3 linked regions of the Arabidopsis thaliana genome follow. The protein of the gene in region 2 interacts with the protein of the main gene of each other region in a pairwise test. Each region holds a gene or a part of one and is shown on either strand. Other genes may lie near its edges. The genes, in order: EIF4A1, AT5G02530 and UAP56a.

Region 1 (9,915 bases), on a different chromosome or scaffold from region 2:
AGAAGGAATTGATTCTTGTCGGTGCTACTGCAGTGGAAGACAAACTGCAGAAAGGGGTATGTAGTGGAAGTTTATTTGGGATTACTACCAAAACTCTAATTTTTGAAATTTCCTTTCACCTTACTGTTTATTGTTCGTTTCAGGTGCCTCAATGCATAGATAAACTTGCCCAAGCTGGTCTTAAGATATGGGTTTTGACAGGAGATAAGATGGAGACAGCAATTAACATAGGGTGTGCTGTCCTTCTATGTTGCTGATAATACCACAACTCCAAATCTTGGAAATTTTAAAATAGATGGTAAGTGGACTAAGTTCTTTGTTTTCTTGAAATGCAGATATGCCTGCAGTTTGCTGAGACAGGGTATGAAGCAGATATACATAGCTCTAAGAAATGAAGAGGGATCATCCCAAGACCCAGAAGCAGTATGTATTAGGCTGATACTATAAAATCCTACATTACTGTTTACGTTTACAAACTTGTTTTGATGTGAGAACTTGTTTGTTGTTTCTAATGGCCAGGCTGCGAGAGAGAACATTTTGATGCAAATCATAAATGCTTCACAGATGATCAAACTAGAGAAGGATCCACATGCAGCGTTTGCTTTGATCATTGATGGAAAGACACTTACATATGCTTTGGAGGATGATATTAAGTATCAGTTTCTTGCCCTGGCAGTTGACTGTGCTTCAGTGATATGCTGTCGTGTCTCTCCCAAGCAGAAAGCGCTTGTAAGATTGATATACCACAAGTCCTAGTTAAATCTTCTTATTGTAGATGGGAATCACTTATTTCTATCTCGGTTTTCTAGGTAACAAGACTAGCAAAAGAAGGAACAGGAAAGACGACCTTGGCAATTGGTGATGGTGCAAATGATGTTGGAATGATTCAAGAAGCCGATATAGGTGTAGGCATCAGTGGCGTGGAAGGCATGCAGGTAATCAAATTTGTTTTCAATGTAATGCGACTTTCACATTGGTCTATTTCTGATTGCACATACATTTCTCATTTTTTGTTTGCAGGCTGTAATGGCAAGCGACTTCTCCATAGCCCAATTTCGGTTTCTAGAGAGACTACTTGTTGTCCATGGGCACTGGTGCTACAAAAGAATAGCCCAGATGGTAAATATCTGTGAATTATACTTGATATTTAGACAGGCGCATCATTTACACACCGAACAACACACAACCTGACCTTGATTCATATTCTTTTTGCCAGATCTGTTACTTCTTCTACAAGAACATAACATTTGGTCTGACTCTCTTCTACTTCGAGGCTTTCACCGGGTTTTCTGGTCAAGCCATATACAACGACTCCTACTTGTTGCTGTTTAACGTTATTCTCACATCTCTCCCTGTCATCGCCCTTGGAGTTTTTGAGCAAGACGTGTCTTCAGAAGTCTGCTTACAGGTTTACACCTCTCTTGCTCAGTTATATCTCTTCAATCTAAACCCCTAAAACCCTTCTTCTAATATAACTTTCTCTCTCTCTAGTTCCCAGCACTGTACCAGCAAGGCCCCAAGAACCTGTTCTTTGACTGGTACAGAATCATCGGGTGGATGGCAAATGGAGTCTATGCATCCGTAGTCATATTTTCCCTCAACATTGGCATCTTTCATGTCCAATCTTTCTGTTCTGGTGGCCAAACAGCAGACATGGACGCAATGGGAACTGCAATGTTCACGTGCATCATCTGGGCAGTGAACGTACAGATAGCTTTAACCATGAGCCATTTCACATGGATCCAACACGTCTTGATCTGGGGAAGTATCGTCACCTGGTACATCTTCCTTGCCCTATTTGGCATGTTACCTCCAAAAGTCTCAGGAAACATCTTCCACATGCTCTCGGAAACCCTAGCACCTGCACCAATCTTCTGGCTTACCTCACTGCTGGTCATAGCCGCCACAACACTCCCCTACTTGGCTTACATTTCGTTCCAGAGATCGTTAAACCCTCTGGACCATCACATCATCCAAGAGATCAAGCATTTCAGAATCGACGTCCAGGACGAATGTATGTGGACGAGGGAAAGATCAAAGGCTAGAGAGAAGACCAAGATTGGAGTGACAGCTCGTGTTGATGCCAAGATCCGCCAGCTGAGAGGAAGGCTCCAGAGAAAACACTCCATATTGAGCGTTATGAGCGGTCTGAGTGGCGTCTCAGCATCAACTGATACAACTTCCACCACACAACATAGTTGAACTCATCCAGTAAGTTTCCTCTTTCTCGAGAAAAAAAATCCATTAATTGGAACTGGAAGGAAGCAGACCAAAGAAGAAAATTGGGATTGAAGATAATAGGCAACAAAGAAAGGGACAGAGAATGTTGTATTGTGTGAGTTTGTGTGTGTATACTAAAGAAAATGAAAAGAAAGAAAGAATTTGAATAGAGTTTCTTATAAATAGATTCTTTTTCTTTCTGAAGAAAGAATTGGTTTTGATTGTAACTGAAGAAGTATGGTCATATTCACATGTAGATATGAAAACTGATTTCATTCATTATCTGTCTCATTCAAGTTCAAAGACTCTTCTTCTACATATAGTTGCAAGAGAAAGAAAATACTATCAATTTTTTGTTCGTTACAGATATATTTAACTCTCACAGCACAAAGAAGAGATTTTAAGAAAGTTGAGAGAAGGTATATCAAGAAATACCGATAATGTCTTTGAACCATTTGAAGCTCTTTCGAATGGATCCCTTCATCTTCTGTTCAACGGAATAAACTTTGTAGCCAGCGACTCTTCTCTTCCTCCGCGATTCTGGATCGCTGAAACTCCAGCTTCTTGACGCCGCACGATCCGCGTTTGGAACGCTTTTGCTTTTCTTTATCTTTAACTGGTAATCGTTCGTTTGACTCTGATCGCCGGCTGAATCGTCGAAGCTCCCGCTGTTGTAACCTTTCACTGCGTCTCGACGGTTTCCAGAAGCTGGCGGTTCGTAATAATTCGCCATGGCTGAGTTTGAGAGTTTTGGTCTGAACGAAGAAGAGTCGTCGTCGACTCTGTTTTTAATAGATTTTGATTGTCTTTTTAAAAGTTATAAAAGGAAATTTTAATAAAACAATATGTTTATTTTCCAAATAATTAAAGGTATCTTTTTTAGAAATCAATTTACAATTGTCATGTGGAGTTGGTCAAGGACCTACTTGTGTTTTTTTTCCCTCTTTTTTTCTTCAAACGAATTAAGTTATTCAACTTAGAAATAGAAAGAAAATGAATACGTAAAATTGGTATGAATCACTAGACTTTTCATGTGTTTTTCTTTTCTTATGATTTATAATGATGGTTAGGTTTGTGTGGATGTGATGATTTCCCAACTATTTCAAAATAGGCACGTGGATTTGTCCAAACCTGTAATTTCTCACAGGAAATAAAATTTCTTTCATAGTTTCGTGAAGAAACTTTGCAGAAGTTCAGACCAATAATTTCACTTTGATATTATAAAAGTGAAAAACCCTTGTCGGTGGTAGGCTTGACTCGGAATCATTGAATCCACATCCATAAAATTTTGAATATACTTCTTTTGAGAAAAAAAGGAAATAGTACATCAAAACTATTAGATATAATATTTATTTTCCATAAGGCTAGAAATATAAAGAAGATGCATGAAAAACGAAAGATAAAGCGAGTTCGTCGCTGTGTCCAAACAGACTTTTGATCAGTAGATTTGTCGTTAAAGCAGCGCCTGAGAGAGTGTGCCAATGCTTCATCCTTGATTGATGCAATGGAAAAAAAGTAACCCCGACTATTCAATTAATTTGTGAGCCAAGCATTTTAACCAGTTTGACATAAACATATAAAATAAGTTTAATGCTGAGATATAGATTTGAAAAAGCTTAAAACCAAACTTTGATGAAAAGATTTGATTGATACAAAAATCAAAGACAAACAACAAAGCCGAATATTAAAATAGTGAAGAAATAAATACTCCATATGACTTAAACTTAAAAATGGTCAAGAAGAGAGAGATATGTTCGTAGCTGGGAGAGAGAGGAGAGAACAACAACTAAGAAAATTTAAGAAATGTAAATCGCTGATAGACGACGGGTCAAAATCAGATCAAAGAGTGCCTTGCAAAACAAGAAAACCTTTCTTCTCCGGTGATACTAGTACGGCAGAGCAAACACAGCAACAGAACCGACTTCTTTTCTCCCTTCACAGCAGATCGGCCACGTTCGAAGGCAGCTCTTCGACAACCACATTGTAGAATTTCTGAATATCAAACAGCATCCTCTCATCATCACGGGTCACGAAATTGATCGCAACACCCTTTCTCCCGAACCTTCCACTTCTTCCGATACGGTGAAGGTAGTTCTCTGGCTGAGTTGGGAGATCGAAGTTGATAACCAGGGAGACTTGTTGGACATCAATACCACGAGCTAAGAGGTCAGTGGTGATGAGAACACGGGAGGAACCAGACCTGAACTCTCTCATGATGATGTCCCTGGTGTTCTGGTCCATGTCTCCGTGAGTTGCAGAGACTGTGTGGTCACGGCTTCTCATTTTGTCTGTGAGCCAATCAACCTTACGCCTGGTGTTCACGAAGATGACACTCTGAGTGATGGCAAGAGTCTCGTAGAGATCACAGAGTGTCTCGAGCTTCCACTCTTCTTTCTCAACGTTGACGTAGAACTGCTTGATACCTTCAAGGGTAAGCTCATCACGCTTCACCAAGATTCTCACTGGCTTGCTCATGAACTTCCTTGTGATCTCAAGAGCTTCTGGTGGCATTGTTGCGGAGAACACACCAACTTGGATCTTTGGTGGAAGAAGCTGGAATATGTCATAGATCTGAAAAAACCCAGAAACCAGTGAGATTCAAGTTAAACTATAACGAGAATGGAATTGAAACACTGAGAAATATTTGCATACCTGGTCCTTGAAACCACGGGAGAGCATTTCATCAGCTTCATCGAGAACAAACATCTTGATGTTGTCAGCACGAAGAGACTGCCTCTTCAACATGTCAAAGACACGCCCTGGAGTTCCAACAACAACATGGACACCAGCTTGGAGGATGCGCTGATCCTCACGGACACTGGTTCCACCAACACAGGCGTGAACCTTGACACCAAGGTAATCACCAAGGGCCCTCATGACCTTCTCAATTTGCTGAGCAAGCTCTCTAGTTGGAGCTAGAACCAAAGCCTGACACTGGATAAGGGAGAAGTCCAGCTGCTGCAAGACACCAGAGCAGAAAGTTGCTGTTTTCCCAGTACCAGACTGAGCCTGTTGAATCACATCAAGACCCTTACAGAAGGGGACGATTCCTCTTTGCTGAATAGCAGAAGGCTTCTCAAAACCTAAGAAAAAACAGAAGCACGCATGAGATAATGTTCTAATCTAAGACATAAATCACAAAAGATAGCTTTTTCAAGTTCCTACACACATACCATAAGCATAAATACCCCTGAGAAGGTTCTCTTGAAGACCCATGGCATCAAAGCTCTCATGAACATCATCATAGGATGTGAAGAACTCATCTTGTCCCTCAAGTCTGTATCAATACAGTACAATTAGCAGCTAGAGCATGCGGAGAGAACACACTCAAGAATGAAAAAACAGAAGTAAAAAGACTCACACTTCATTGAGTTTCTGGTCAAACTGACGTGCATCAAACTGTGTGCCTTCTGGTGCAGATCCTGCCATGCTACATAAAAAGAACAAAAACAATCAGATTTCATATCAAAAGGAAGAGAGACAACACCTATTTTGATATCGTTAATAATATGATTGCAAAGGAGGAAATGTGACAAGAAAGCCAAACTCGAAGTCCATAAAGAGAGGAAAACAAGCATTAATATCTGCCTCAGATGATGTGCGGAGAAAATGTATAAAGGCACATATGGTTATCTATTAAACATAGACACCACTCAACCTATTTCTCCAAATTACAAAAAAAAACATTCAATCAGACAAAACCAAGTGAGTGTTAAGACAAGAACATCTGAGCTTTGAAGACGATTCATTTCATTCTATTGAGAGACTAACCTAGCCGTAACAAAATCTACAAACCCATCAACAAATCTACAGATGTGTAGATCCTAAATTTAATAATCGTCATCATCAGCAGCTCAGAATCTAATAAAGAGAACAAAAACGAAAGCACTTCCACAGCAAAAAAAACGATCTTGAAGTAACGAAAAATCAAAACTTCCAAATCAACTCAACAAAGTTGAAACCAAATCTATCGGAAAACACAAAAAAACAAATCAGAACAATCCAAAAGTAAAGAAACAATCATGAATCGTAAAAGTTACATCGAGATAATAGATAGACAATCCGATAGGATGCGAACCTGGAGCAAAGTTGGTAAGCGAGAGTAAAGGGCTTTTTTCAGGGAGCTTGAATCTCCCAAACTCGGATCTGAACCGCGTTGAGAGAGAGAGAGCAAAGAGAAGAGCGAAGATTGCGAGAGACTGGTGGAATATCCGAAAGAGGCTGAGAGAAAACGCGTTACCTTGTTTATATACTCCGTCTTTAGGGTTTTCTCCTTTGGAAATCTTCTCCTTTTCTTTTTCGGATTTCCGGTTTTACCCCTTTATTCCCTTTCTTTTTACTCTTTTGGCTCGGACAAGGTTTTCCAACACTTAGCTCATTGTCTTAACTTGATTTTGGCAAAAATAAATAAACAAATATCTAGTGGGAAATTAGGAACATAAATTCTTCATTTATTTTGTGACTAGCAAAGAAAATATTCTTCATTTATTTTATTTTCTTTTCCAAAGCTTTCTTTCTCCTGCAACTTTTATTGCTTTTTGACGTTACAAAGCATTTTCCCGATTACAACGAGGATATTAGAAGAATAAAGTGACTGATAAGAACGTTTTATCTGAAAATGTCTTTACTTATTAACACATCTATCTCTCTATGTTGAATGTTTAATCATGTAATTGTTCCACAAGTGATATGAAGAATCCTTGAAACGAAGCAAAACACATTGAGTAAGAAGAAGGTAACTAGCTAGTATGAAGAAGCAGCAAGTTGCTATCTATCTTCAACAAAAAATGCTTTGATTTTAGCCTCAAGAGACTTTCTTAGAATCTGTTGCCATTGAAGAAAAAGCTGGAGAGGGCAAAACATAATCATGATGCTTAGGATAAGCAAAAAATATGTATTTAGCTTGTGTAGGTAGAGGAAGAGCTAGGAGTTTTTTGTGTGACAGGAATCGAGGGAAAACGATGGGCCAAAGATTAGGCCCATTAATAAGTTTGACTAATCCCTGCCGTTCATTAGATGCCTACGTAATCACTAACGCACCTGATGATCTCTGTCTTTTGGTGAGACGCAAAAGCTCAGAGAATAATAATAGGGCCCAATATAATAAAGTACAAACCGAAATTTGTGAAGCTTAATTAGTCGGTTTAAATACTTTTATATCGGTTATGGTAGAATTGGTGTTGGTACGATACAATCTGGTACATGTAAGGCAGCATTTTGCCATTTCTGAAAAACCTAAACACAAAACTATCTTCATCATCATCATCAAATCCCAGCTTTCTTCCAAGTGATCCTTCACTCTCTATACTGCGATTTACCGTTCTTCTGACTCTTGGTGAGTTCTAGATCGAATCCTATCTTCCATCCACATATTTACTGTTTCAAAATTGGATTGAGTACAAGTCAAATTCATCGATCTCGATCTCTGATATAGTTGCCGAGGGAAAAAGGAGAAACCCCCTAACAAACATTCCCACCATTTTTTTTGTTATTTGCAGTTGCGAATTCGGATCGGCTGACGCAGCTCCGATTGCACAACAATGGCTTCTCGTATCATCAATCATTCCAAAAAGGTTTCTCTTTCTCTATTTTTCATTTTTTTCTGTGGTTTGACTACCATTTTTGATCTTGTAAAACTGAGTTTATGCATTCGTTCTTATGTGTTTTGCTCTGCCAATCATTTTTTTCTGAACTGAGGTTCGTTTTCCGGGTTTGACTTAATCTAATCATGAATTTGGTATTTTTAATTTGATCATGGGCAATTCTGCATTTTGCTATTGAGAGCTTTAGTAACCTCCTTGTAATCTGAATTGTGATTAATGTAGTAGCTTCGCTTTATGATTCAATTGTGGTATTAGCTATTCATTTTATTAGTACAAGAAGACTCTACTTTTACAGCAGAGTAATTGTATGTTGCTCTTTGTAAACACTATTTTGACGATTGTTGTGTTATCTGACCAGTTGAAACATGTTTCCGCTTTACTGCGGCGTGACCATGCTGTGGCAGTCCGCTGTTTCTCCAACAGTACCCACCCCTCTCTCGTTGGAAGAGAAGGTAATCCAGTCAGCTTTCTTAGTGTCCTCTTCATTGCTATCCTTAAGTTCATTTTATGTAGAAATGTGTGGTGGTTTCTTTTATTTGATACGGTAACAAGCACCACACAGTACTCTGGGATGAATAGTCCAAGTTTGACTTTCACATCGTTTTCAACATGAAGAACATAACAACGTTCCAACTTTAATTAATTGAAAGTTGGTATGTTTTGAGTATATATTATGCTTCTCGCTTAAGCATTTATTTTTCTATTTTTATTTGGTCTTCAGATATCTTCAAGGCCCGCCTGAATTATTCCTCTGTAGAGAGAATTTCAAAATGTGGTACTGGCAATGTAAGTCCCTGCTGTTCAGTTTCCTTTCTCGTCTTTGCTTTGTCACGTAATCGTCTGTGTTTTTTTGGTCGTAATGTCATTAGCTGCATTATATAGGTAACAATGCTTAGTGGTATTTCAACAACGAGCACAAAACTAAGCAGCCCAATGGCAGGACCAAAACTATTTAAAGAATTTATAAGGTATGTAATCCATTTACCGATGAGAATACAACTTGCTACCTTCCTGTATGAATACTTCTATCCTAACTGTAAGCTTCTTTTCTTGCTTTTAGCTCCCAGATGCGATCAGTGAGAGGATTTTCATCCAGTTCAGGTATTTAGTTCTTTATTGTAACTTCCCGCTTGTTCTAACATATATTTTCACTTGAATTGTACTTTTTTTTGTGAGCATCTGACTTGGTTTTTGTGCCTTTTGCGGCCATCATATTTCTGTCACTGTGTATATGCAGCATACATGGTTTGTTTTACTGATAACTTTTTAAAATATGTTTCAGATCTTCCTCCTCATCAAGAGATTGGAATGCCTTCTCTTTCGCCAACAATGACTGAGGCATGTACCTCTGAATACCTCTTACGAAAATTAACATGGTTTATTGTTTTATCATTCTACTAAAGATATCTGTTGAAACTTCAGGGTAACATTGCCAGGTGGCTGAAGAAAGAAGGTGATAAAGTTGCTCCTGGTGAAGTGCTTTGTGAAGTTGAAACTGTAATGATAATCCTGATTGAATCTCTTCCTGTATTGATTCTTATGCCAGGAATAAAACACTTATCTCAATCTTAATATTTTAGGACAAAGCAACAGTCGAAATGGAATGCATGGAAGAGGGTTTTCTCGCCAAGATAGTAAAGGAGGAGGGGGCAAAAGAAATTCAAGTTGGGGAGGTATGAGAGTTTCTGACTTTTGGAGACTTGTTAATTATAATGGGTTCTCATGAAGTATTTGATTGTGAGCCCTATGCTCCCTTTAGTTGAAGATCAATGAATATTCAATAAAAATGACAAAGATCTTTATCTTCATTTGTAGAATCACATATAAATGGTCCCTTTTTTTTTTGTCCAACTAGGTGATTGCTATCACAGTTGAAGATGAAGATGATATTCAAAAGTTTAAAGATTACACACCCTCATCCGATACTGGTCCCGCTGCGCCTGAAGCAAAACCAGCTCCTTCCCTACCAAAGGAAGAGAAGGTAGAGAAGCCAGCCAGTGCTCCTGAAGCCAAGATCTCTAAGCCAAGCTCAGCTCCTTCAGAAGATCGTATTTTTGCCAGTCCTCTTGCAAGAAAGTTGGCTGAAGATAAT
Region 2 (9,118 bases):
ATCAAGTGATGAACAACCCTTCTTTTTATTGTCCATACTATGAAAAGATTGACGCGGTTACATATTCACTCGATAAAATATTTAAGCATACAACAATGCATCTCATGAGTTACCATACGATAATGTGGAAAGAAACATCACAATCTCTACTTGTTCTTACTTTTTTTTCACTCTTTAGGTAACATTCAACAAGAACACCGTAGAGATTCAAGTGGTGTCATCGAAACCGAGGTAGTTCTTTTTAGAAACCGAGTTAATGAGCTTAACACTGAAATCCCAGAGTTTCTGTGCCAAAGTCTCATCTCTAGCAAGTTTGCTTGGAGTGACTTCGTTGCAATCAGCAAAGTACTTTCCTGTTACTCCCTTCACACTTGGATGCAGAGCAACATAACATGTTGTTGCTGCTCCCTGACAACATCACAAGAAGCATCAAAATATTGTTCTTAGATTTGTCTTTATTTAGTAACATAGTCATAGAGTAAGATCTTGAATTTGGCTTAGTCTTAGGATTCTATCTACTAGTATAGTACCTGAGGTATATTTTTCCACAAGTAGAAGCTGAAGAACTTCAGGAACCCTGCCAAAAACGGAATTAAAAGGAATGATTTGAAGAGAAACAGAGAAACTAAGAAAATGATGTGAAATCTTACTCATTAAAAGAGCAGTGTGTTGGAAGAGATTGGTGAGAATAAGACCAGGGTGAACTGAATTTGCTGTTATGTTTACTCCTTCTTCCTACCAAACAATGTCCCCAAAAAGATTTTGAGTTTTTATTTTCTCAAGTGTTTATAAATTTGAGATAGTACTAACACTTTGAAATATCATATATGTGTTTGTGTTTGTCAGTGTGTGTGAAGGCGACCTGAAGCTGACGGGAGAGCTCATTAGCATGCAATATATTGGCTAGTTTCGATTGTCCGTAAGCTCGCTTATCCGAGTAACTGAGAGAAAGAAAAAACATGGTTACAAGATCAAGATTTATTTAGTTTTGAAACAAGTCAAAAACTGTAGAATTTACCTGCAAATGTCATTGATGCTGTCGAATTGGATTCCTTCTTGGTAAGTATAGATATGAGCTACAGATGATACATTCAAAATTCTTCCTTCAACACCACTGGTTTTAGCTGTGTTCTTCATTGTGTCCAAGAGCAAGTTTGTCAACAGAAAGTGACCTATACAGTATAATTCAAGAATTAAAAATTTCAATATTTTCAGGTTTAATTTCTGAAACCAAGTTTCTTTAACTTTTTTATAAATATAGGATTTACCAATGTGATTTGTAGCAAACTGCAATTCGATTCCATCTTCAGAGAGTTGGTATGGACAGAACATTACTCCTGCATTGTTTCTGCAAAATCCATTTTGTGTACAATTGTTATAATTATTAATTAAAAGTATGCACTTTTTTTTTTCACCCAAAAAAATAAAATAAAAACAGATAACATTTATTTTTCTTGCTACACACATCTACAAATCTAGTGATACGTGTGTAGAGATTTGGTAGTAATAAATGATACCACATTGGAAAATGTAAAGTAACATTGATGTTGTCAAAACAAGAAGAAAGAAGTCAAATGTTTAGAGCGAAAAAATAATGTCATTGTCACAGCATTAAACATCAAAAAAGAAAAAGCTGCATAAATAATTATTGGGTGTCGTTGTTTATTACCTAACTAACGTAAATAGTAGTACTACACAATAACAGAGGAATGGTAACCAAAACAGTGTTAATTAACGTTGTTAATGTGGAAACCATTCAAAGCCTGTAATTGTCATAAGAATCAATAATCCAAACGCTAAAAAAGGCGGTGCAAACGCTTTAAACTGAATGAGAGAAAGAGAGAATGTGTACATGAGGAGATTGAGAGGAAGATGGAGGGCATGAAATTCACGAACAAAGGCTTTGATGGATTTGATGGAAGAGAGATCTAATTGAAGAAGAGTGACACGTGCGTTTGCGTTTTGTCTGAGAATCTCTGTTTTGGCGTTTTCTGCAGCTCCCATGTTTCGGGCACCGATCACCACATGAGCACCTCTCTTCGACAGCACTCTCGCTGTCTCCATCCCTATTCCTCCTGTCCCTCCTTATTACAATAATAATAAATCACATACCAAGTTTTGTTAGCAATAAATAATTAAAACATGTTCAAAAACGTAGCGATGTAATTTTTTTGTAAATGTATGCATATGCATATGTGAACCTGTGATAATTGCAGTGAGATTAGTTGCATCAATCCCTTGAGTAACCTCTTCAGCTGTTGAAGCTGAACCAAATCCACTTGGTCCTCTTCTTCCTGTGATTAGTGAATATAATCCCATTTTTAATAGATTGACCTCAAGAAACAATGTAGAAGAGAGAGAGCGAGAGAGACAAGAGAGGAAGAAGAAGATAGGTTTGGGAGAATAAAATGGTACTATGAGAGAATCATATATATAAGTGGCAAAGAGTCATTAATGCTTATTTTTGGTACCTTCTAGTTTCATGGACCTTATTGTGTGAATTTATCCATGAATTATAAATACACATTAAACCCATCCCCACCAATATTGAATATAGATATGTACAGTATGTATATTAGTTTTTTCTTGTGACGGTCGATTCTCGATAGTGCATGCATTCGAAATCTAATTAAGAAAAAGTTCGTATTTTTCTTCGATATAGAAAATAAACTCGCTGTTGTCAACTTAAGCATGTCTATTTCTAAATAAGTTGTTGTTAAGGTCTCTAAACTTTTAAGTCCTTTTTCTCTAAAAAAACCCTTCTAATATTGGTTCTAAATTGCCGACAATGGCGAGTGTTTTCCCTCTCTTATTATTCGAAAATGTTACTATACCATAAAAGTTTATTAATCTTTACATAATTTACACATTACTTTCCCCTTTTCAAAACGAACAAAATAAATCGTTTGCTATCAAACATGTTAATGTACGTTGGTAGTAATGTCCCCTCCTTTTTTAGGGGTATTTAATGTCCTCTCGTTTTTCGAAGATTAAAACAAAAGAATATGATTTGTGTGTATAGAAAAATGAACATAATCTAAGTAAACGTTACATTTGGGGATTGATGATTAATCCCAATTTTTGTTTTTTTTTATAAAAAAACACTGAAAGGTATTAAGGTGCTCTAAGCTATTGAAAAACAAAATGTTGAATAAAAATATAGGGATGACCAAATTATTAATGAAAGGTTGGTGAGAAGCCGTTGGTTACTATACTGAGTTTTCAGCTACTTGACATCCTCCTTTCTTCACATGTTTCCAGTGAATGTGTTACCACTTACCCAAATCCCTCCTAATTTAGGGGCGAGTTTCATTTAATTAACCATCTAATTAGTTTCATTTTTTCCCCAAAACTTAGGGAGGTTATTATGCAACTAAACCGATGACTATAGTCTAAACCAACAAAATCAAAGTGGTGTGGGTTTGTTTCTTTCATGTAGAGACGAAAATACTTGACTTTGTCATCCATATTCAAACCTGCATTGGATGTTCTTGATAGAAAATAAAGAAGAAAACCTAACATAACTAAACAAGGTCTCGTACAAATTTTAAACAACTGAAGAGCATAAATCTTATACTAAAGAAAATCATTAAAACTCTACTCAAGAATACTTCATCGGTCGTTTACAGAGTTTTTGACCGGCAGATAAAGAAAGATATATACTTATTTGGATAAAGAAACAATACAGAATGTATAAAATTAATTCATAGCCCGTGCTCATAGATATCGATGTTCCTTTCACATCCCGTTTCCAAGTTCAGAGAATCCAACTACGAGATTTGGATCTTTCTTTTTTTTGCCTTGCAAAATTGATTGCTGAGAGAGCCTCATAATGACATTGTTAGGTGGTAGATTTACACAAAGGTACACACACACACCACTATCGAGATTAATGCCATATTTATTATTGTTATTATTGTTTCAACATACTAATTCGTGATTTAAACAATCAAAACCTATAATGCTTTATGATGTAAAACTGATAGTTGAACAAACTTGTCGTGGTAGCTGAGAGTATATTCTTTTCAAAGCTGAACTTATATTTAGCGATTATTTTGTTTGTTTAGTACTCTATAACCGGTTAACATTATTTTGTTTGGCATGCAACGAAACAAATCTAAATAGAATGGACCAACCTACATTTGTAACTGCTTCAGTAAAAAAAAAAAAAAAAAAAAGAAGAAACAGAAGAGATTATATTGCTAGATCTAGCACCTATATATTAGGATAGTCGAATTATGTAAGTAGAATAATGAAGGCATTTACTCTATCTATCATGTTTTTAGCGGCGACTGGCACATGACATCCGGCTCATTGGCTCATTTGTATGGGGAAGTGATGTGACCATGTGAGACTATAACGTCTAACGATATTGACTATTTATTTCCTTATATTATATTACTGCCAAAAAAGGCAGCTCAAAAAATACTATTGTGCAACGGTTATTATTCCATGGATCAAAGATATCAATAATTTTTTGTTAACCACATTTTGTTTTTATCAACATATTTAAATATTTTGTATAGTAATTAATGTGTCATCATTTGAATACAAATCTGTATATCATATAATAAAAAAGTCCACTTAACCATTAAAAATTTCATAATTCGTCTAGAATTCTACATAAAATCTTCTGGTCAGGTTATAAAGATGTCTTTAACACTCATGGTACAAGTAATTTGTTAAATAGCAAGGCAAGATTTGTTTTCCAAATTGAGATAAACAAAGAAAAAAAAGGGTTGACTTACTAATATTAATACGTGAATGTGTATGTACGTTGTGATACAGTCACATACTGTGCCCATACAGGCAATGCGTGTGCTTCACATGTACTTGTCCACATCTTTGATTATGACAATGGCCGGAGGGAAAAAAATATAATAAGTTGAAGTGGACAATGAGGATGGGCCACTGGATTTTTATGAGTCCAAAAGGCCCATTAAGAACTCAGGGGTCTATTTAGTAAAACGTAAGAGTTTAAGGGCAACAAAACAATATTGATTAAAGCTGAGGTGTTTATCGTAATTCTCCGAGAAGATAATATCTGTTTCTCTCTCTCTCACTCTCGCGGTGCGTAATTCCATCTTTGAAATCTCAGAGCAACAAAACCCTAGCTACATTTCTCGATATCGGAGAAAAGATCCGGCGAAGATGTCAGGTGGCTTAGATATGTCACTTGATGATATCATCAAATCTAATCGAAAACCTACTGGATCTCGCGGCCGAGGAGGCATTGGAGGTGGCAATAACACCGGTGGTCGCGGTGGTTCCGGTTCTAATTCCGGTCCGTCTCGTCGGTTTGCTAACCGCGTAGGAGCCAGAACGGCGCCGTATTCAAGGGTCAGCCCATTGATTTTATATCTCTCCCTTTACCTTCTCTTCCTTCAAGAATCAGAGAATTCCTTTTAGGGTTTTTGTGAAATCAAAAAAAGCTGAGATCTGTTTTCGTTTCTTCTTTGACGAATAAAACAGCCGATTCAACAACAACAAGCTCATGATGCGATGTGGCAAAACGACGTCTTCGCGACTGATGCGTCTGTGGCGGCGGCTTTTGGGCATCATCAGACTGCTGTTGTTGGTGGTGGCTCGTCTATCGAGACTGGAACTAAGCTTTACATTTCAAACTTAGACTATGGTGTCTCCAACGAAGATATCAAGGTTTGTGCTTTAGAAGTTTATTATAGTTCCAGTCTTACTTATGAGAAAAATTGTGGTTTTGTTTCTGATCTTGAGATGGTTTTGCTTGTAGGAGCTTTTCTCTGAGGTTGGTGATCTTAAGCGATATGGGATTCACTATGATAGGAGTGGAAGATCAAAGGTACTTACTTGATAAGCTTTATTGTGCTTCAGAGATTTGTTTATTGAATCGTCTTGTCATGATTAAACTTAATGATGCTTTCAGGGGACTGCTGAAGTTGTTTTCTCGAGGCGTGGGGATGCATTGGCAGCTGTCAAGCGTTACAACAATGTTCAGTTGGATGGAAAACTGATGAAGATAGAGATTGTTGGGACTAATCTTTCTGCTCCAGCTCTTCCCATTCTTGCTACAGCTCAGATTCCTTTTCCTACTAATGGGATACTTGGCAACTTTAATGAGAACTTTAATGGCAATTTCAATGGCAACTTCAATGGAAACTTCAGGTTTGTCTTGTTTCCACACTTTGTTCAATATGGAAACTTCATAGTATCATTTGCTAGGGTCTATCAATCTATTGCTAAGTCAGTTAGTATCTTGATGAAATACTTATGTTTTGTTCTTCTGTTAAGATGGCCTATGTTTTGTTCTTGAGTTAGTATATTGACGAAATGCTTTTTTGGTTAGGCCAAGTATATCCTGATAGGTAGATTACACGAACCTTGTACTCCTATTAAATATTTTGGATAACCTGTTATGCCACAGAGGCAGAGGAAGAGGCGGTTTTATGGGGCGTCCTCGTGGTGGTGGTTTTGGCGGTGGTAATTTCAGAGGTGGCAGGGGAGCTAGAGGACGTGGTGGTCGTGGCAGTGGTGGAAGAGGACGTGATGAAAACGTATCTGCAGAGGATCTTGATGCTGAATTGGACAAGTACCACAAAGAGGCAATGGAAACAAGTTAGAAAGGGGAGATTAAACCTATTGCATGTCTACATGTATTCCTTCCTTTAGTGCCGATATGCTTTTGTATTAGTATGATCTTTAGATTGAATGTCAATGGGTCTGACATTTTCGAGCTTTAGCTTTTGTTTTTTCTTCTCTTGGTGAGCTTCTTAGCTTTTTGCAGTTGAGTTCAGAGAAACAAGCATTGTGTGTACCGTGGAACTCAAAACTCTTCTAAAATATCAATTCAAAACACAATTCTATCTACTCTCTTACTACGTATACTTTGTCGTTTCAAACTTTTGAGCTTGAAGCAAACGAGATCCACTATGAATTTACTTTGTAAAAAAAATAAAGGAAGCTAGTAATACTAAAATATTAAGAGAGTTTCACGACCAACAAAATGATTACAGACAGGGTCAGAGACCATAACAAACCTACTTATTAATTATGATTACAGGGTCAGAGACCATAATAAACCTACTTATTAATTACGAAAGTTTGAAATAGTTTATTTGATTTTCAAGTTTCTTCGCTTTCGAGAATCCGATCCTTTTCCTATCAAGAAGAAGAAAGAAAAAAACAACAAATATTGTATTATATAGTGAAAGCCGTTTTCATCAAAAAACAGCTTTAAAGAACTAACCTTTAGATGGAGCGGAGTTAGTCTCACTACCATCCTTTACTTGGATAAGGTTCCGATCCTGCAAACCCAGACAATGTTAAAGACTCTGTTCCCATGGTTGGTCTAGTGTTAAGGAAATCAAATCACAAACCATATCATAAACAGGAATTTGGTTACGCCAAAACTCTAGTGATGACACAAGCACCCTTCCTGCAAAACATTAAACAAAATTCTTTTTTTAACTAATGCTTTCAACAGAGCCCTTTGGAAGTGAAGATTTTCTACTCTCTATTAACCTGATCTTGACCGTTTCTGTCCCAATGAATCAGTAGACGCCGCATTGGTCTTCTGCTGCTTCACTTTTTTTTCCGGTGTTACCTTTGAATTACATAACAACAAGAGCATTAACACTCAAACAGGAATATCAGAGGATAACCATGTAAGTGGTGGCATAAGGGGAAGTGGTTACCTCCACATCAAAGTCGATTTTCCTCTTTATTTTTTCCCATGACAAGTTTTCTTCAGCTTCTTCAGCTTCAGACCTGAAATGATTCATAGGCTCTACAACATTGCTGTTACTTTGAAGGGTCTTCTCACTTTTCTTTGATTTTCCTTTCGACAGGGGATCTTGAAATGCCTTCGATACCTTCACTCTACCTTTTCGCTGTACTGACGTCAGTGATTCTTTAGTAGCATTCTTACTTGTTAATCTTTCAACATCTGTACCAGAAAGCCTTTTACCAAATCCCTTCACTGGTGATATCACTTCATTATTGATAGCCACACATACATCTTTTTCTACGTCATTGCTCTTAGCATTATTTAAACCTTCCTTACTATGTTCTGCAACATTACTAGTCGGACTCTGGAGTTTACTCGCATCGATTTTCCTTTTGTTTTCCGCACTTTTGACTTTCGTCCCAGAGTAATTCATGGGATCTACTACATTGTCGTCACTTCTGAGGATCTTGCCACTTTTCTTGGATATTCCTTTCTTTTCAGGTTTGCTACTCTTGGCTAAGTCTTTAAGCAGGGAATGTGGAGATGCTGTTGTTACAAGTAAACCATTTTGCTGTTCCGAAGTAAGTGATTCTCCAGTAGCACTTGCACTTGTCACTTTATCAACATTATCTGCACCGGTATGCTTAATACCACTTCCAACCGCTGGAGATATCACATCATTATCGATAGCTTCGCTCTTATCTTTTTCTACATCACTGCTCTTAGCCTTAATGAAACCTTCACTACCATTATCTCCATCATTACAAAGATTCTGGACTTCACTTTCATCGAGTTTCCATTCACTGTCTTCATTATTGATAACCTCACATCCATCTCTTTCTACATCACCGCGCTTAGCCGTATTCAAAAATTCACTACCATGATCTCCATCATTAGCAGTCTTCCGGACTTTACTCGATTCAAGTATCCTTTTTATTTGCAGATGAAGAGACCTTCTCCTTGCAGTTTTTATATCTCTTGCTCCAGAACCACCTTTATCATTAATCTCTGCAATATCAGTCTCAGTCACATTGCTTTTCTCTCTGCTCTCAGCTGGATTATCCTTAAGATTCCTGTTAGAGTACTTACAAGGTGATAAAATGGGAGGACAAGCTGCTAAGAAATCATAAAACAAGGACATATCAATAAAACATAGATGCATCAGAAAAAAACACACACACACAAACACATTGCTTCAAGACCTAACCTTTCTCGATAGTCGAAGGGACGGTATTAACATCAGTGCCAAAAGAGTCTCCTTCAAAGCAACTGTTACAAACTCGTTCCCAACAAGGAGGAAACCCGAAGATGAATTCACGAGAAATCTATTCCCAAGACCAGACCACAGAACAAAAGAGAAAGAACAAATCAAAGTCAGTTCTTCTTCCTTAGTTCTTAGATAGATCAAGTTCCAAC
Region 3 (11,287 bases), 3.0 Mb from region 2:
TTAAAATAGATCTAGTATATAAGAATAAACTGGAATTCTAGAATTTTATAGTTAGAAAATAATAGTGTTTGACATGATAGATTTGTATATCATGTATTGAATTTGAAGGCAATTTGAATTGGATCCCACGGATCAAATCTCAAGTCCTCTCTACATCATATTTTATAGAAGCTATGTTTTAGTCATTTCTAAGCACATTTTGAGAAATGACTTCTCAAATAGGAAATATTAACTTAAACTTTGCAGCTTTATACTTGATAAAGAAGAGGGAAGTGGTGGCCATTATAGGACCAGGGAATTCAATGCAAGCACCATTTTTAATCAACCTCGGAAATCAATCTCAAGTTCCCATAATTTCATTCTCTGCGTCAAGCCCTGTTCTTGATTCTCTCCGTAGTCCATATTTCATCAGAGCTACACACGATGACTCATCTCAAGTGCACGCCATTAGCGCCATCATAGAGTCATTTAGATGGAGGGAAGTTGTGCCTATTTATGCAGACAATGAGTTCGGAGAAGGTATTCTTCCTTACTTAGTTGATGCTTTTCAAGAGATCAACGTTCGTATCCGATACCGAAGTGCCATATCAGTCCATTCCACTGATGACCTAGTCAAGAAAGAGCTTTACAAACTAATGACCATGCCCACTAGGGTTTTTATCGTGCACATGTTGCCTGATCTCGGATCGAGGCTTTTCTCGATAGCAAAAGAGATTGGTATGATGACTAAAGGATATGTATGGATTGTCACAAATGGTATAGCTGATCAAATGAGTGTAATGGGGGAATCAAGCTTGGAGAATATGCATGGTGTCTTGGGCGTCAAGACATATTTCTCAAGATCAAAAGAGCTAATGTATCTTGAAACTCGTTGGCGAAAAAGATTCGGAGGAGAAGAGCTAAACAATTTTGAATGTTGGGGTTATGATACGGCCACAGCACTTGCAATGTCAATTGAGGAAATCAGTAGTAACGTAAACATGAGTTTCAGTCAGACCAAAAGAAACACTTCAAGAGATGATACTGGGACAGATCTTGATGATCTCAGCTTTGCTCTCTCTGGTCCCAAGCTTCTTCAAGCGTTGGCAACAGTCAGTTTCAAAGGCGTTGCCGGAAGATTTCAGCTAAAAAACGGAAAGCTAGAGGCGACGACTTTCAAGATAGTCAATATAGAGGAAAGTGGGGAAAGAACAGTTGGATTTTGGAAATCAAAAGTAGGACTAGTGAAGAGCTTAAGAGTGAATCAAACAGGCATTAAAATATCACACAGCTCGCACCGCCTTAGACCGATAATATGGCCAGGGGACACTATTTTTGTGCCTAAAGGTTGGGAATTCCCAACAAACGCAAAGAAGCTGCGAATAGCAGTTCCAAAGAAGGATGGTTTCAATAATTTTGTGGAGGTAACAAAAGATGCAAATACTAATGCTCCAACGATCACCGGGTTTTGCATAGATGTTTTCGACACGGCAATGAGACAAATGCCTTATGCTGTCCCCTATGAGTACATACCCTTTGAAACTCCTGATGGAAAACCCCGTGGAAGTTATGACGAAATGGTTTATCATGTATTTCTTGGGGTAAGTTACATATTGATCCCTAAGTTTTTTCTTTTTTCTTTTTTTGATCATAAATGTAAATTATTAGCCGAAATCATGAGACCTTTATAAAACTTTTTCTTGTTCTTACAGGAGTTTGATGGAGCAGTAGGGGATACCACAATCTTAGCTAATCGGTCTACATACGTAGATTTCGCGTTGCCATACTCGGAGACGGGTATTGTAGTCGTGGTACCCGTCAAGGATGAGAGGGAAAAAGGAAAATGGGTCTTCTTAAAGCCTTTAACAAGGGAGCTCTGGTTCCTCACTGCAGCTTCTTTTCTCTACATTGGGATCATGGTTTGGATTTTTGAGTACCAAGCAAGTGGTGATTTCAGGAAACAGAGCATTATTAATAAAATATCTAATGTGTTCTACTTCTCATTTTCGACTCTCTTTTTCGCACACAGTGAGTTTTTTTTTTTTTTTTTTTGTTGTCACACATCTTCAGCTTCTAATCATTCCAATTACTTGCAAATCTTTGAAAAAAGAATCTGATATAACCACATTTTTTTATAGTGAGGCCATCGGAGAGCATTTTCACAAGGGTTCTTGTGGTAGTTTGGTGCTTTGTGTTGCTTATTCTGACTCAGAGCTACACAGCAACATTGACATCGATGCTGACGGTTCAAGAACTTCGACCAACAGTGAGACACATGGATGATCTGAGGAACAGTGGAGTTAACATTGGATATCAAACTGGTTCCTTTACATTCGAAAGGCTGAAACAAATGGGTTACAAAGAATCGAGGTTAAAGACTTATGATACTCCTCAGGAAATGCATGAGCTTTTTCTTAAAAAGAGCAGCAATGGTGGTATTGATGCTGCATTCGACGAAGTCGCTTATGTCAAGCTTTTCATGGCTAAATATTGCTCAAAATATACCATTATCGAGCCTACCTTTAAGGCTGATGGCTTTGGCTTTGTAAGTAAACCTGGTTACTTTTATCTAGGCTTTGAATAGTGGCAGAGGATGGGGCGGGACTAGTACAAACCGCTTTTAGCTACCACTAAAAAGTATTGGTCTATAGCATTACGAATAAAATATAGACTCTATCCATGCTACGAAAATATGTTCAAACCATCGAGTTTGTTCTTAATATGATTTTGAAATGTGTTTTTGGATCTCCATTTTTTTTGTAGGCCTTTCCATTGGGATCTCCTTTGGTGCCAGATCTTTCAAGACAGATCTTGAATATAACGGAGGGAGAGACCATGAAAGCTATAGAGAATAAGTGGCTCCTCGGAGAAAAACATTGTCTTGACTCAACCACATCGGATTCTCCAATCCGGCTCGATCACCACAGCTTTGAAGCTCTATTTACGATCGTCTTTGTTGTTTCTATGCTTCTACTCTTAGCCATGTTGGTTTGTAGAAGATACCGCCAAGAAAGCAAAAGCGGCGAGATCAATGCTAATAATTCGCCAACAGATGGTAACATGAGAGCTCCACCTAATCAGCCAACAGATGATAACATGAGAGCTCCGACTAGTCCGCCAATTGATGATCAAGTCCTTGAGCCACCTGGTCCAGCATTAAATGAAGCCGATGATCAAGATCAGCTTCTGAATGATGAAGTTAATGTTGGAGATCGAAATGAAGTAGATATTATTGTGGAAGTCGACCCAACTTTGGTTCACCGTAGAAATCTGATCACCTCAAAAACAATACCCACCCGAAGAGCTGCACTATTCTCGAGGATTAAGTCTGCATAGGCTCTGATCGTAGTCTTTCTGAATGAACCTAATTATTATGTTCTTTTGCGTGTTGTTTTTTGAGTTTTTTCTCATGCAAAGGCAACAGACTTGCCTCTTAAAAAGTCAAAAGACAAATAGGCAAGGACACATTGACTCCTTCAAGTTGCCTTTTTCCCCTAACCATTGTTCCTTGGATATAAACTTTTCAATATATAAAGTAACCATATATACGTGTTGTATCTCTTCCACACTAAATGAAATGTGTTATAAAAAAAAAGCATCACATGAAGGAAGTAACGCTGATGAATGACGATTCTTAGCAACACCATGATAAATTGATAATAGATCGATTCCTAAGGAACACAGTAATCAGGTCGAGACTAAATCCTGATATTTCAAACATAATAATCTCTTGTACAAAAAACTGGACAGCTTTTAACTGTGCGATTTGGAGAGTGACTCGAATCTCCTTTAAAGAGTACAACAGACGTTCTAAACATATGGAAAAAAATGTCGTCATAGAAAACACTAAAACAAACGGAGCGAGAGATAGTTGTGAACCCCCATCACCCTTCGAACACCTACAAGGTTGAAATCTGAAGAGCTTCTTTCCTGAGGGACGTGCTACTTGTTTAAGAAGGCACTGAACAAAGAAAGAAGAAGAAACAACATTAATATCACAACCAGACAAAACCAAGCTTTTAAACAAACAATTGGTAAGGGATTTCACACTTACTGTAGGTTGAAGTATCAATCTGCTCCGGAAGTTCCTTTATATCAACCTCAAACCTCTCTTGTACCTGTCCAAGATTTATAATTGCCACTTTACTAAATATCCAACTCAATTTCAAGAGGAGTTTTCCGTGGACTTATTACAAAGATTGAACACCATACCTGGTTAAGAACCTCTGAATCTGAAGCAGATGCAACAAATGTGATTGCAAGACCCTTGGTTCCAAATCTACCAGCTCTGCCAACCTATACCATACACAGCAAAACGGTAAAGTTACAAGAGCCCTTTCAGTGAGATCAACAATCAAATAATAAATTTCAGTATTATATACTTACCCTGTGAAGATAGGTATCAGCAGAATCTGGCATGTCATAGTTGATGACAATGTTGACACGCTCAATGTCAATCCCTCTTCCTACCAAGTCAGTCGCCACAAGGATCCTTTTGTGCCCTTCCTTGAAACTTTTGTATCGAGTCAACCTACATAACATATCGTATTAGCCTTAAGAATTGGACTCCTCTCCATGAGGGCTTTAAGAGCAGGTAGGGTCCTTCAAAAACATTGAATTTTGAAGAGAATGTACAGACCTCTCTTCTTGAGACATTCCAGAGTGGATGCATATTGAGGGGAAATTGCATTCCACCAGTAACTTGTTCAGCTCAGCAGCCCTGCTCACGCTCTTCACAAAAATGACAACTTGATTGAAGTCCAACGCATCAAGAAGGTCATTCAACTTCCGGTTTTTCTCCATCTCGCTCAGTTTGATATAGTGCTGTTACAGTATGACAGTAAAAGGTCTTTTAAGTATCAAACAACAAACTATATTTCCATTGAATAAGAAGACCTAACACCAGATAAGAGTACCTGGACAAGCCCATGAAGAGTCAACTTGGCTTCATCATCGACATATATTTCCATTGGCTGAAAGGAATAGATATCAGGTAATAATTAGCAAGCTTTTCTCAGGAAATGATTTACACTACAAAAGTGAAGATGGATGTAAAACCCCTGATCTGAGATCCTCGTCCACCAGGTTCTCTTCATAGATGTGAGTTTTGCTATGATACAGCGATATTGCTCGGAACATTAAGGCCCATACAATCACAATGAAACCTTGGGACAACACAGTACCCCACCCAAAACCCACCCAGCACTGCTAGAATTGCAAAGAAATTGAAACTGAATAAAAGGTAATGACGAAAGAAGATCCTGTTGTGCAATGGTCACTCATTCATACCAATGCTACAGAGGCTCACACTCACAGTTCTCGATCCCTACAAACTACCCAAAGCATTAGTGGATTGAGACCCATCGAGAGATCAGTTGCAGCTTTTCCAGGGCAGAACCGCAGAAGATGCCCAAATAATGCTATAATCACCCATAGAAACCATACCAAAGCTACAGAGTCTCACACTCACAGTTCTCGTTCCCTACAAACTACCCAACCATTATTGGATTGAGACCCATTGAGAGATCAGTTGCCGCTTTTCCAGGGCAGAACCGCAGAAGACGCTCAACTAATGCTATGATCACTCATAGAAGGCTAAAAATAGTTGAAAACTAGAAGACTTGCAAAGGGAGAGAGAATTGGCCATGGAACATTACATCTTGCATAAATTTTTTGCAGACTGGGCGTATCTCTTTGCTGAGCGTTGCTGAGAACATCATTACTTGTTTGTCATGAGGAGTCATCTTGAAAATCTCCTGCACATCCCTTCGCATGTCTGGTAAAAAAAAAGTTAAAGTGTTAAAACATAAAATTATTCAGGGATCGATGTAATAATGATGTCAGAAATCAGCATACCAAGTGACTCGAGCATTTTATCACATTCATCAAGAATAAAATGCCTCACATTCTTCAAAGAGAGATCTTTCTCCCTGGCAAGTGCAAGCACCCGACCAGGGGTACCAACAACAATGTGAGGACATTCATTCTTCAGCAAGTCTTTGTGAATTTTAATGTTGACTCCACCATAGAACACCGAAACCTTTGTATCAGGCAGATAGGTACTGAATCGCACAAACTCATTGCAGATCTGCAAGTAATTGTCAGCATCAAGGCAAAAAGCATTAGAGGAAGAAGACGTACAACAAAACTATAAGCCAAGAACCTGAGTGAAACAAGAAGGTCATACCTGGTAAGCTAGCTCTCTTGTATGGCACAAGACAAGTGCAGAAACCTGGCCAGGAGATGGTTCAATCTGTTGTAGAGTAGACAGGACAAACACAGCAGTCTTCCCCATACCAGACTTTGCTTGGCAGATGACATCCATGCCCAAGATAGCTTGAGGGATACATTCATGTTGCACTGGTGGAGAACCAAAGAAAATTGTACCGAAGAAAGCCTTTATAAGTAGATGATAACCTCCATATCTTTTAAATTGGTGGCTTTAGCACATGTTTAAGCTCACTCCAAACCAATAGATTGAAATATCGTTTATTACCTGGAAAAAGTAATCAGTGAAACGTTAATAAACAAAGAAAACAAAAACCATTATAACAGGAAATAAAAAAGAATTTGACCTCAACACAAACTTTTTTTAATTTAGTTAGATGATAAGCAAAGGACCAAGATAAAGTATAAAATATCTTTAACCAACATATCTTCTCAAAACTAGACGAAGTACATATAATTAAAAGTTTCCGGACAACTAAAACATCTTATGGAGAAGTCACTTCTGTAAATTATACAATATCATTCGGTAATAGAATGGTGAAAGGCAAGGCAGAAAAGTCAAAGGTAGGGTGTATTTCATTGTAATAACCTTCAGATGGATGTTCAAATCCAGAGTCAACAATAGCTCTGAGAAGCTCCGGTTTTAAAAGGAAGTCTCTGAATCCAGAACTGTGTATTCCCACGTACCCTCTGTCACAAAGAGAAAATACAAGATGATAAACACATGACCGTCTAATATTGGGTAGGTTCCAGGAATTTTAGCATTGAAGAACTTAGTCAATTGTCATAAAGTTAAGCAACTAACCAAACACATAGATAATTGAAGAACTTAGTCGGTTGTTATCAAGCAGTAATCTAAGAAAACCCTAAATTTAAACATCCACTATCTCATGAAACAGATCGAGGAAATCATAAAACTCACTTTTTCACGGCTTCACCGTTAACTTTGTTTCCAGAATCTGGGACCTTCTCGTCTTCTTCTTCATAGTCCAAGAGCTCCTCCTCGTAGGCTTCGTTGTCTCTAGCGTCTCCCATACTTCGCAAATTCAACAAGCTGCAGAGAAATTTCGGGTAAGATTCCAAATCCAAAACATTAACCTAAGATTCAGTAGGAAAGCATCTTCCATTGGAACTTTGGATAAGCAATTGAGTTCTCGAGCGAGAATTTTACCTGAGATAAGGAGCAGAGTTGGTTGGATCTCGAAATCGACTAGGGTTTCGAAATCTCTGACTGAAGAGAATGAATCACCAACGCCGCGTTGGTGTCGTAAATAAATATATACAAGGAGACTGGATAGGGTTGACAATAAGCTTTACTTTAATGGGCCTAAAGTTTTTATTAATCGGCCCTTCTGCGCCAATTATTATCTAAGTTTTTTTTTCTTTTTTTCTTTAGTGGGTTCGAGTCAATTTAGACAATGACGGTCAGGGCTCGTCTTGGTTTAGTGGGTTCGAGTCAATACGAACAGAACAGTAGAGCACAATAGATAACAAATTGGTTTAGTTAAGATATTTCATTTCCCTTAATAACAATGTTTTTGTTTCAAGGACCCAACAAAATTGTAGGCCCATTAATTAAAACAAAACCCAATTTAGACTGAGTTCAACCATATCTTTCACTCTCTTTGGAATCGTTTGGACGAAGCTCAGATATTTTTACTCTTGCAATTCAGAGATTTCGAAACCCTAATCCGATTTCGCGATCTAACCAGCTCTGCTGAGTTCTCAAGTTATCCATCAGACTCTTCTGTTTATTAGCAAATAAAGCTTTGTAAGGAAAGCCATTGTGTACTTTCACTTTTATTGTTTTATAGTCTTCAATAAATAACACATACAGTAGTTTGCTTATGTAATAATTTGTATCATGAAAACTTTATTAACGATTTTCAATTTATAATTTGAAATCAGTGAAGTAAGTTGTTAAGTTTAGGGAGAAACAAAGAAAAACTTGCAGCAGTGCTGAAGCAAAAATATGGACCAATATTGCAGTAATGAATAGTTTTGTCGTAGAATACAACCAACTTTATCAGTGCTCAGTAATATCAGCATTAAATTTAGTAAACCTACTAGTTGTACTTTTTAGATTTCCCGCATAAATTACGAACGTATCTTTACCCTTTTAATGATTACAGTTATTATAAACTGATTAACATGAGTTAGTGATCCATCAGAAATTCCACCAAACCGGGAAATGTAAAGACTCTTTTCAGTATCTCGGTTTTTTACCAACCACTGCCGTGGAAAGTACACATCAAAATTCAAAATCTACAGAGATCAATAAACGAGAACGAATACAAGAAGTTGGAACCCTAGAAATTTTGAAAAAAAGAACATGAACTCTGCAGGGAAAGAAAACTGAACCGGAAGTAACCGGTATGTATCCTAACAGAACTCATCTAATCCACTAGGCTCCACCAACACATAAAGCGGCTTCCCTTTGAGCTTGTGTTGCCCCTAAAAACAATTCAAAATTTTCACAAACTCAATGAGCAAATTTGAGTTGAGATTATAACAAAAAAACTAACTCTATCACTACATTTTAGAAATCATTTCAAAAGAACAAAACCAGAGATAACTTCTTAGACAAGTAAGATAAATGTGACTCACCTTGACTTCAGGCAAGCCAATAACACAAGCACACTCAACAACTTCAGCTCCTTGGCTCTCTGTAAAACGTCAAACTGTATCACATTACAATTCAAGACCAAAAAATTCTCTTTAAAAACTGAAAAAGAAAACAAGAAGAAAGAAAGAAACCCAATAGGCTCATTGCGGCAGAAAGAGTGCCGCCAGTAGCAACAAGATCATCAATGATAATGACGCGTTCGCGTGGCTCAACAGCGCCAACATGCATCTCTAAACGGTCATGCCCATACTCGAGCTCATAAGACTCCGATATCACTTTCCCTATATTTTATAGTTTCGCCAATTTTTCAGAATCTCAAGAGCTTCTCTATCACAATAACCAAAACAGATAATGCAGTAAAAAAACCTGGTAATTTTCCTGGTTTACGCAAAGGGATAAACTTTGCGCCGATGGCTAATGCAATGGAAGGACCAAACAAGAAACCTCTTGCTTCAACTCCTATATAATACATTTGGATGTAAACAAACATATTAATTTCTTAATGAAGAAAAAGACAATTCTTGTTTCTCCTTTTTTTAATTGTCTTTTGTTTGCTTATATGATGTAAACCCATTTTAGAAAGACACATAGTTTTTGGCGTTACTTAACAAACTTGATGACGAAACACTGTAGTAAAGAAATGAGAGGATAAGGAAGAACAAAGGAAAAAAAACAGAGGAGTCTTACCAGCAACGACAGAGATTTGCATGTCTTTGTAACGATCTACGAAGATATCAATTGTGTGTTTAAACGCCTTGTGATCCAGTAACAACGTAGTTATGTCCTGAAACATAATCCCTGTCCAAGAAACAACTTCAGAGAATTGCAAAAACAGAACAAAGAACAGAAAAAACAGAGGAACAAGAAGTTTTAAAGACCTTTCTTAGGGAAATTAGGGACAACCCTAATGGCTGCTGATATAGCTTCAAGCCTTGGATCTCCTTTGAGACCATTCTCCGCCGCAAACATCTTTTCTCTCTCTCTTCTCTTTCTCACTAAAGTTTCAATTCTGAGAGAGTTAAGGAGCGTCTTCACTTGTGTGTATTAATCTCTCGCACTCTCTCTCTCTCTTGAGAGAGTAAATGGGGAAGAATTCAAAGTAGGAAACAAATAAATTTCCCTCGCAGAAGAAGGAAATGAAATGAAATGAGATCAGATCTTCTCTCTTCTCTCTCTCTCTCTATGTCTCTGTCTCGCTCTGTTCCTCTGTTCACCACCAGTTGTATAGAAAGTGGGTGAGAGAGCATTTAATATTTAATAGTAGTGGAGAAGAGTGTGTGTACCACACGCGCGAACTGGGTCGGCACACAGGTTTTTATGAACCGCAATAAAATCACAATCACAAGCGTTAATGGATACTGTATTAAAGAGAGTGAAGAAAGATCCGAAGAAGAAAAGAAAATCTTATGGATCTTCGAGAGAATCTTTTGGCCTTTAGCTCTTTCTTACTAGAGTCTCGATCAAAAGACCTATAAAGGAAAGAGATTCGATACTCTGCCAAAAATAAAAAACATTTTTCTATAAAAAGAAGTACCCATTCTCCTAAAACTAGTTCACATTCCATGTTTTGTGTCTTGTCTCCTCCATACACAGCTACACTTGCCTCTCTTTTTTTTACTATATTAAAAGTTTTGTGAACTGTAATGTGTATTAAATAAGTTTTTACAACTTTATATTGGTAGGCGTAGGGATAATAGATTTTGGCTGTTAATGTTAACCAAAATCGCACCTAAAACCGCACTGCAACAGTGCTGTAACAGTATCAAAATCTCTACATATGTATTTTCGTTACTATTTGAACCGCACCGCACTTCTCCCGCACCGCAAAACGCAGTCACCATTCGGAGCCTTTGTGTTAGTTTTAGTTACCTCTTTTTTCCTTAAATCGAGGTGTTTTATATTTCTTGTCTCCTACATTACACTGTTTGTGTTTGTACGAGTACTGATTTTTGTAGATTGCGTTTATAACATTTAGATAGTAGTAGTACAGGTTTTTATGTGAATTCAAAGCGTAAGTAAAAAAGTACATGGGGAGCAGATCACCGAATACAAATAAATCAGCAATAGAGTCAATATGCGTCCAGAATTGAGTGGTACATGCCAACTTGTATAACAAAATTTCTTTTGTATGGTACGGGGTTAGTTTTGAATTCAGGTTTAAGATATAATCATATAACTCTATAATTTAGTTCAGCTCTATATAGATTAGTAAAGGATATAGAATAAATTTTAAATATTATTTTTAAATACGTGTGAAAGATCTAGACTCTTCTAATAATTAAAACGGGTATAAATAAGAGTTCAATAAATAAAGACCCAAAATAATTGCTAATATGTAAGAAATTAGCATAATGGATTGGTGACTTCATATATAAGTGAAGACCATGTTTTTGAGAAGTTAAATCATACCCCTTTTCATGAGCAATTTCAATTTTAACGATATATGTTAAAACA

Evidence for each region.
Region 1: the proteins of AT5G02530 (region 2) and EIF4A1 interact in a two-hybrid assay, tested with the Arabidopsis thaliana proteins (one study listed by BioGRID).
Region 3: the proteins of AT5G02530 (region 2) and UAP56a interact in a two-hybrid assay, tested with the Arabidopsis thaliana proteins (one study listed by BioGRID).

What each region holds. Positions count from the first base shown.
Region 1 is NC_003074.8:4,588,480-4,598,394, forward strand, and holds EIF4A1 (eukaryotic translation initiation factor 4A1), read right to left. Parts: upstream 6,282-9,915; 5' UTR 5,779-6,281; coding exon 5,768-5,778; exon of another isoform or gene 5,651-5,767; coding exon 5,582-5,650; coding exon of another isoform or gene 5,578-5,581; intron 5,498-5,577; coding exon 5,394-5,497; intron 5,304-5,393; coding exon 4,873-5,303; intron 4,792-4,872; coding exon 4,226-4,791; coding exon of another isoform or gene 4,186-4,225; coding exon 4,107-4,185; 3' UTR 3,777-4,106; downstream 1-3,776. Other genes in the region: AT3G13900 (ATPase E1-E2 type family protein / haloacid dehalogenase-like hydrolase family protein), read left to right, coding at 1-56, 144-232, 336-423, 520-729, 810-935, 1,021-1,119, 1,217-1,408, 1,492-2,202; AT3G13910 (hypothetical protein (DUF3511)), read right to left, coding at 2,205-2,254, 2,656-2,953; AT3G13930 (Dihydrolipoamide acetyltransferase, long form protein), read left to right, coding at 7,761-7,793, 8,182-8,275, 8,545-8,609, 8,706-8,791, 8,884-8,924, 9,106-9,161, 9,246-9,320, 9,404-9,496 and 1 more. UniProt on the Arabidopsis thaliana protein: ATP-dependent RNA helicase which is a subunit of the eIF4F complex involved in cap recognition and is required for mRNA binding to ribosome.
Region 2 is NC_003076.8:561,810-570,927, reverse strand, and holds AT5G02530 (RNA-binding (RRM/RBD/RNP motifs) family protein), read left to right. Parts: upstream 1-5,002; 5' UTR 5,003-5,151; coding exon 5,152-5,340; intron 5,341-5,472; coding exon 5,473-5,658; intron 5,659-5,749; coding exon 5,750-5,818; intron 5,819-5,902; coding exon 5,903-6,141; exon of another isoform or gene 6,142-6,400; coding exon 6,401-6,596; 3' UTR 6,597-6,843; downstream 6,844-9,118. Other genes in the region: AT5G02540 (NAD(P)-binding Rossmann-fold superfamily protein), read right to left, coding at 208-408, 531-577, 651-735, 863-941, 1,019-1,172, 1,269-1,348, 1,853-2,084, 2,202-2,319; AT5G02520 (dentin sialophosphoprotein-like protein), read right to left, coding at 7,088-7,134, 7,223-7,280, 7,353-7,411, 7,498-7,579, 7,671-8,818, 8,910-9,027. UniProt on the Arabidopsis thaliana protein: Export adapter involved in nuclear export of spliced and unspliced mRNA.
Region 3 is NC_003076.8:3,549,289-3,560,575, reverse strand, and holds UAP56a (DEAD/DEAH box RNA helicase family protein), read right to left. Parts: upstream 7,481-11,287; 5' UTR 7,379-7,480; intron 7,262-7,378; 5' UTR 7,243-7,261; coding exon 7,130-7,242; intron 6,898-7,129; coding exon 6,797-6,897; intron 6,476-6,796; exon of another isoform or gene 6,340-6,475; coding exon 6,167-6,339; intron 6,068-6,166; coding exon 5,836-6,067; intron 5,756-5,835; coding exon 5,637-5,755; intron 4,953-5,636; coding exon 4,896-4,952; intron 4,804-4,895; coding exon 4,619-4,803; intron 4,511-4,618; coding exon 4,366-4,510; intron 4,276-4,365; coding exon 4,192-4,275; intron 4,098-4,191; coding exon 4,034-4,097; intron 3,941-4,033; coding exon 3,930-3,940; 3' UTR 3,558-3,929; downstream 1-3,557. Other genes in the region: GLR2.6 (glutamate receptor 2.6), read left to right, coding at 247-1,580, 1,692-2,007, 2,118-2,524, 2,743-3,315; APT5 (adenine phosphoribosyltransferase 5), read right to left, coding at 8,590-8,661, 8,815-8,873, 8,965-9,114, 9,200-9,292, 9,521-9,631, 9,712-9,802. UniProt on the Arabidopsis thaliana protein: ATP-dependent RNA helicase involved in pre-mRNA splicing. Required for the export of mRNA out of the nucleus. In addition to ssRNA and dsRNA, binds dsDNA, but not ssDNA.